Ovis aries: one gene and its partner. The protein of the gene in region 1 purifies or fractionates together with the protein of each later gene. This does not show direct contact. Links are inferred from orthologs where the notes say so. Each region holds a gene or a part of one and is shown in the gene's direction. Other genes may lie near its edges.

Region 1 (3,816 bases):
TGCCAGGTCTGGGCCCCCTGGTGGGATCCCAGGCCCAGCTTTGCCCTACACCGTGCCAGCCAGTTTCCGTGTTAGTTGTGAAAACCAAAGAGGGTCACAGACAGAACCACCAAGCAGAACCCAGCACGCTTGGTCGGCATGGCTGCTGCAAAGGCATGTAAGGGCATTTGTGGGCCTAAAACTCACTGTTGGGAGTTTCCTGGCGGCTTAGTGGTTAGGCTTCAGCACTGCCACTACCGTGGCCAGGGTTTGATCCCTGGTTGGAGAACTGAGATACCACAAGCTGTGTGGCATGGCCAAAATATTAATTAATTAAGATTTAGTGGCACACCAGGGCATATCTTCTTTAATTCCAGCACTGACTAGGGTTTGCTGTTGGCCCCTCATTCTGACCCCAGGACAGCCAGCAGGTGATGAGGGGAGAGAAGTGCTGATCACTTGGCTGAGGAAGGCTGTGTGGGCCCCTCAAGATGGCTCCCCAGCAGGCGCCTCTATCTGGTCAGTGTCAGGAAAGACGAGAGAGGGCCCCCAGTTCAGCCCCGTACCCTGCCAGAGGCTGCTCAGCACAGTCGCCATGACGGACTGCCAGAGGGCTGCCTCTCTGACACTCGGTTCTCCCGGGCCTTTGCTGTTTTCTCTCACTCTCATTTCCTGGCATGCATACTGCCCAGGTCACCCTAGGCTTTCAACAGGACACACGGCCTCCTTCCCAGCTGTGACACGTGAGTGGTGTCACGAAGTGCCTGCTCTGTTCAGGACCCTTCTTTTTGTATATGTGCAGTCATGCTTCTGTAGAACCTGATATCCCCAAGCAGAGTCAATTGTTCAAAGAAGAATGTAGAATTTGGAAGCCCGCTACAGTTAAGTGGCCTTTGAGCTATGATATCCACCAGTGGCACAGGGCCTTTTTTTCTCACAGTGCTGGGCACAGTCTGACCTTGAGGTCAGAGAAGCTGCCTTGCCCAGCAGCTTCCTTGTCCCCAGGCTGGTGATTCTCTCCTCCCACCATGAAAGAATACCTTGACCCAGGGGTTCTCACTCTCCCTCCCTGCCCACTAGGCTCCATGCTACGTGGAGGAAGCATTTCATGGCCAAGTTCAGAGTGAAAGGAGGTCGCGGGGCCAGGCCTGGTGCCCCAGGTCACAGCTAGCTCTGTTGCATCTGAAGTGGAGGCCACCTGTTCCTCCCAGCCTTCTGGCTAAGTGGGCAGTCAACATACCTGGGTGAACATCCCCTTGACTGTGTGTTTGTGTGTGTGTGCATTAAATACAGATGGCCTACTGCCAGCACATTGGGGTAGAATTCATGTTCATCAATGACCTGGAGCAGTGCCAGTGGATCCGGAAGAAATTTGAGACGCCTGGGGTCATGCAGTTCACCAACGAGGAGAAGCGGACCTTGCTGGCCCGACTCGTGCGCTCCACCAGGTACAGGGCTGCACTGGCCCCCTCTGTGTGGTACAGTCTGTTGATGGGGTTGGGTGGGTTTGGGGCGTGGCCACAGCTCTGGGAGAGCAAGGTTGTCCCTGCTGACACGCCTCTTCAGGGTGGCTTAGTTTCTGTCCAGGTTTGAGGAGTTCCTGCAGCGGAAGTGGTCATCTGAGAAGCGCTTTGGTCTGGAAGGCTGCGAGGTACTAATTCCTGCCCTCAAGACCATCATTGACAAGTCCAGTGAGAACGGAGTGGACTACGTGATCATGGGAATGCCACACAGGTACCTGGCCACCCTGTGAGCGTCCGGAGCGCAGAGGCAGGGCACTGGGCAAGCCTGGTATACAGTAACCCTAATCCCTACCCCCAGTGACCGTCGTCACAGCAACCCCTCACTGGGTGGTCACTGTCACACTCGAGGCCACATGTGGTTGTAGACAGACATCTTGGCCTCGTGACTGGGTGGGATCACAGGTGAGGGAGGTTAACCTAGAGGGAAGGTGGCTTGGTACACGAAGCAGAGACCTCAGCTTGAAGAGGCAGAGGAGGCTAAGGATGGAGCATTCACTGCAGGCTGGCAGCATTCTCTGATTTCTGCTTTTCTTCCTTCTACCTCGTCATGGCCTTGGATGCCAGGCAAGCAGAGGCCGAGTGTCCCCCATCAGTTCTGGTCTCAGCTCCTCTTGGGCTGCAGACTGAGGCACTACCTGTCCCTCAGGGGAGAAAGGGGATAAAACAGCATTGTCTGCTGCCCAGGGCCCAGCTCAGACCCTGCCCACTCCCATGTGTCCAGGGGGAGACTGAATGTGCTTGCGAACGTCATCAGGAAGGAGCTGGAGCAGATTTTCTGTCAGTTCGACTCAAAGCTGGAGGCAGCTGATGAGGTAAGACACCTGATTTCTTTTAGAAACTAGCATAGCTCCAACCCACGCCAGACCCTGGCTTCATTTATTTCTCTAGAAGGACTTATGGGGTCTGGGATCCTCTATACCACTCACAAAAAAAGGAAGTGGCTGACCTCCCAGAGAAAAGAGAGATGAGAGGCCTGGCAGCCCCCACAGTTCTCCCCACCGTGGGTGGGGATATGGCCCTCTAGTTGAGGGACCTCCTCCTTATACCCTGGGTGGAACCATTCTGGAAAAAGCCTTTCCGTCCTTCTAGAAATGAGAGTTCTGGGTGTAGAAATAACACAGGACAGGGCTGTCACAGAGAGTAAGCGTCTCCCTGCCTAGGTAAAAGCCTCACCGTTTGTGCCGGCAGGGTTCTGGAGATGTGAAGTACCACCTGGGCATGTATCACCGGCGGATCAACCGTGTGACCGACAGGAATATCACCTTGTCGCTGGTGGCGAACCCTTCCCACCTGGAGGCTGCTGATCCCGTGGTGATGGGCAAGACCAAAGCTGAGCAGTTTTACTGTGGGGACACTGAGGGGAAGAAGGTGAGACCATGTGGGCTGGCCGGGGGCAGTCCTGAGTCCAGACAGTCCAGGACAGGCTCTTAGCCACAGGCACGCCCCAGACCTCACATTTCCAGAATTGAACAAAATGTTCTGAGTGGAATTCCAAAGAGTAGCAATAGTAAACCAGTCCCAGTTACAGATACGCTTCCTCCCAAGTTGTGACCACCAGGGCTAGGTGGGGAGTAGTTTGCTTTCATTACCACAGCTGTGGAAAAGCTAGTCTTGCAAGATAATCATGATGGTCAAAGAGGTTTTATCATTGAGCAAGAGGACAGGGTCTTAAGGAAGAGGTGTGGGTGAGCCTAAAGGAGGAATTGTGAAGCTGACAGACAGGAGAAGAGATGGCCCAGTGAATATTAGGGTGGCACCATTTAGAGATGGAGAACAGCTCCAGGTCTGAATTGTCCTAGTACAGAGGTGGAGAACAGCTCGAGGTCTGGATGGCCCTAGTACCAGCATTTTCCAGATATGTGATGGTGAATGCTTAATGTTGATTAGCCAGCCTGCTGGTATATAGAAATCCTCAGTGGATTGTAACTGTCCTTGTTTGATCTCAAAGTGTAATTCTGTCTTTTACAAATTATGTAGTTCTTTCTAATGACAACCTCAAAGCCAAGCAATCAGGAAAATCAACTTTTTGTAGTGTCTGTGTGAGCATTCTGGGGCGTGTTCGAAGTCAGCATCACCACCATGCTCTCAAGCATCTCTTTTTCCTAGAAACAGGGTCACGTGTGAGAAAGCTAATAGAACATACACATTGCGACATAAAGCTGCAGGTTAACTGGTAAAGAACTTCAGAAGAGGGATACATGGGTATGGAAGGAAGTGGAATGAAAGGCAGTCAAATCTTCTCATTGATAGAGCAGATAGTTGTCATATTTAATTAAAGAAACAGCAGGACTTAGGTAGATGGGAAGAAAAGAAT
Region 2 (3,816 bases), on another chromosome or scaffold:
AGAAAGAGTTGTTTTTGATCTGAAAAAACAAGACACATGAAAGAATATAATCAGGTGAAGCAGATAGAGTAATTAGTTGTCTGTGGCAGCAGTGCGATTATTTGTAATAAGGACAATTGGTGGGGCAGAAAGAAGCTCTCACCTTGTTGAGTGTGACCAGAATGGAAGGTCTCAGCAAGAGTGGGAAGGCAATAAATGGAAAGGAGGTGTAATAGTTTGCTTGAGCAAGCTGAAGACCTTGGGCCAGAAGTAGCCTGGTCTTTGCTGTTGGGATTCAGGCAACAAAACTTCCAGTGCATTTTAAGTAACCAGGGAAGCAAACTCGGACCAAACTTTCCACTGCTTCTTTAGGCTGTGTGTAGTCACAGGATAAGCTATCATGTGTCTCAGGCTTCCATTGTATTTGAAAACTTGGGAAGTAGAGGCATTCTATCATGAAAACATACAGGGATAATGAAAGTTTATGAATTTCGAGATAAATAAGATTATAGAATTCTCCCCTTTCTTCCTCAAACCCATTCCCTGCAGTCGCACATACCTGTTGTTCTCTGCCATTACGGTTACTATGGTGGAAAAGTTTAAGAGGCAGGACTCTGTGTGATACAGATTATATTATTGCCTGCTGTTGATCCTGCTCTATCTCAGAGTTAGGGGGTGAACAACTGCTTCTCCATTCCCAGCAGGTATCCTGTATGAGATAAAGAGTTGTTGGTTAAGAGTTGTTTTGTTTCTTGCAGGGATCTCCTTATGTCAGGGACCAGGTTACCCTGACAGCAGGAAGACTGTGTAAGTATCACTGGGGAGCACAGATATGTGGACCCGGGGTATTGAAGACACCAGTTTGACCATCTGCTTTCTTTCCTGTCTTTCAAGCCTAGTAATCAAGCTGGTTATATTGAGTCCCTTGACCTGAACTTGATGTTAATTTATGATATGAGCCTGAGCTTCAGCCCCATGTGAAGTATTGGACCAGGAGTGTGTCAGGACCAGGTGTTCAGATTATAATGAAAGTGGAGCTGGAATCCTCTTTTTATGGGAATTGTTAGAAGGATGCTCCTAAATATTCTGGTTGGCTACAAGTGAAGCTGAAGGACTGGAGGTTACGTTTATTGTGGAGGTTAAGAGCATCCTTTTGGTTGCATAGTTACGCATTTTAGAAACAGTAAAAGCAAGAGACTAGTATTTAACTCCTGGGACTTTGACTAGTGTAGAGGGAAGGAATGCTACTATTGCATAATGCAAAATTTGGAGAGAGGCCACCCATGTGTGTTTCAGATTAACTTCTGCCTATGAGTGTTGCTTAACACTACTTTGCATTCCAAGTATTTTCAGGGTGGTAGTAAGAGGACGCTCTTTAGTTTCCTGTTGAGCAGCTGTCAAGCTATTTTTCTCTATAGGTGGAATCTTTAAAATGAAGGGTCGGCAGATTGCTCCTTCTTCACTGTGCATTAGAATGGCAGTTTGGCATTCATAAGTCTTTGAACTGTGTGTACCTTTTGATCTAGCAATCCCATTTCTAGGGCTCTGTACTGAACGCCTAGTGTACCCGTGTTTCTCAGAATGGTCAAACAACAATGGATGGGTTAGGCTATGCTATGCTATATGTTCATTCTACAAGTGGGAAAAAGCAAGTTATAAAATTATTCCTTTTGTATTGTATGGTATAGTCCCATTGTGAATGTTCTTTTTGCTCTTTCTAAGTTTACTACTGTTAACATCTAATACTTTTGTAAATTTAAAATTATTTAGGGAGTGTCAAAGTGTGTTTCTCATCTATAGTTTAAATGAAAATTAGAGCGACTACAAATCCTGTGCAATAAATAAAACAAATAACTATTTAAAAGTTAATTATTTTAAAAACCCCTAAACTTTGAATGATGAGGATCACAGATTAGGGTATTACTCTAATCTAGTAACTGTTTCTGTATTGTATCTTGTCTTTTTTCTGTGCATAAGGTACCCATTTTACTAAAAATCTTTTATTGTAAAACTGTGTTTGGTTTTTTGTTTTTATTTAATAGGTTACACATTTACATGGTTGAAAAGTAAAAAGAGTGTCCATGAGAAGACTTTATCCTGTTCTCCCATGCTACTGCGTTCCTATTCCCAGAGACAGCCGATGTGCCAGATTCTGGGTGTCCTCAGAGAGCAGTCTCTGCATTGACACGTTACCCATTAGTTATTGCCCATGAACATGTACCTATACATGGTTGGAAACTTTTATGCAGAACACTTTGTATTCTGTATTTTTTTAAATAACACATTTTCCCTTGATTTTACATAGAACTTAAAAATACCAAAGGCAACTTAAATCTGTTTCACTTTTTATTGTAAAGGTGCTCATTGTAGACTATTCAGACAGTCTTGAAGTATAGAAAGTGAAAGTTCCCATCAGTCCAAATCACTCTTCCAAAATGTATGTATATGACAGATAACCACAGATACCATATACCAGATACCATGATTCTCCATGGTCATATCATTCTCCAGGTTACGTTATTTCAGGTTAGTGTCATATCAGAGAATACCTTGCTCTTTTTGAGGTTCCTCTTGAGTGAGTCCAAAGTGGACTGATGTGCTGCCTTCTGGCAGGAGAACAGGTGATTATGAGGTTTTCAGTGGGGCTTTTTGTTTGTTTTTTTGTTTATTTTGCATATAACACCTTGTTTTACTTTCATCTTGCTGTCTTATCTAAATCTTTAATCACATAGACAGAAATTCTGTTTTACATGGCAAAGTGGCAAGTACCCTGAGGGCACACAGTTTTATCTTACTTGGATTCAGTTAAGAAAAAACCTAATCAGGAAGCTGAGTCCTTTTGTGATTGTGCAAAGGACCAAGATGCTGTCTTTTTCTTCAGAGATGCAAACGTAAGTCTGTTCTGGAAGAGCTGGCATTTCACTGCAGCACATTTCACTCACCCAAGGGCCTCGCTGCTTGAGGCACCCAAGTAATCCAGGCTTTACTCTAGACCTGCTGAGTCAGGATCTCTGGGAATGGGGCCTAGACAGGTATGCTTTGAAAAAGTTCCCCAGGTAACAGTGATGGGCGCTCCTAGTCAAGAGTCACTGGTTTAAAGGGAAGGTGAAAGAATCTAAAAAAGAGTGGATATTTGTATAACTGACTCACTTTGCTGTACAGCAAAAACTAACACAACATTGTATATCAACTATACTCCAGTAAAAATTTATTAAAAATAAAGGTGATTCATCATGGCTTATCTAGACTAAAATGTGAATGATTCACCTGTTAAAGGAGTTTACTTTTATGTTTGTTTTGTAGCATTAACAGCAGTAATATCTTCAGCGTTCGCTTCTTTAGAACTACAGCTGTATGCAGTAAGTACCTTCAGCTCCCTGCGTTCTTGGGGATGGAATTTTAATGAGAAGAATAGCAATTGACTGAATTTAATGGCAGAAAAAAAAGGAAAAATATGGACTGTGTGATTTCCCCCCTCCCCTTTTTTCCTAGAGGATGATGTGATTACAGTCAAAACCCCAGCGTTTGCAGAATCTGTCACAGAGGGGGATGTCAGGTGGGAGAAAGGTAAGATTTACTGCCTTCTCACTTTTTAAGTTTAAATACTTTTGAAAAGTCCCCTTTACTCCCCTCACCTTCATGATAATCAGTGGAACCTGTGGCTCCACTCTTTTCTTTACATGCAGTGTACCTTCCCCTGGCCTGTAGGAAAGGGGTCCTGTAACACCTGCCAAAGGGGATTTTATGGCTACTTTTCTTGTTACCCACTGCTCACCCCTAACAGGTAGCCTTTGACTGTCTTTTCAGCTGTTGGAGACACAGTTGCAGAAGATGAAG

What was found.
Region 2: the proteins of OGDH (region 1) and DLST fractionate together in Homo sapiens (co-fractionation; 3 studies listed by BioGRID). This does not show direct contact. The link is inferred for Ovis aries from reciprocal best matches to the Homo sapiens genes OGDH and DLST.

The regions. Positions count from the first base shown.
Region 1 is NC_056057.1:78,452,505-78,456,320, reverse strand, and holds part of OGDH (2-oxoglutarate dehydrogenase complex component E1), read left to right. Parts: intron 1-1,272; coding exon 1,273-1,427; intron 1,428-1,566; coding exon 1,567-1,713; intron 1,714-2,223; coding exon 2,224-2,314; intron 2,315-2,690; coding exon 2,691-2,870; intron 2,871-3,816. UniProt on the Homo sapiens protein: 2-oxoglutarate dehydrogenase (E1o) component of the 2-oxoglutarate dehydrogenase complex (OGDHC). Participates in the first step, rate limiting for the overall conversion of 2-oxoglutarate to succinyl-CoA and CO(2) catalyzed by the whole OGDHC.
Region 2 is NC_056060.1:84,220,980-84,224,795, forward strand, and holds part of DLST (dihydrolipoyllysine-residue succinyltransferase component of 2-oxoglutarate dehydrogenase complex, mitochondrial), read left to right. Parts: intron 1-737; coding exon 738-786; intron 787-3,282; coding exon 3,283-3,338; intron 3,339-3,471; coding exon 3,472-3,546; intron 3,547-3,786; coding exon 3,787-3,816. UniProt on the Homo sapiens protein: Dihydrolipoamide succinyltransferase (E2) component of the 2-oxoglutarate dehydrogenase complex. The 2-oxoglutarate dehydrogenase complex catalyzes the overall conversion of 2-oxoglutarate to succinyl-CoA and CO(2).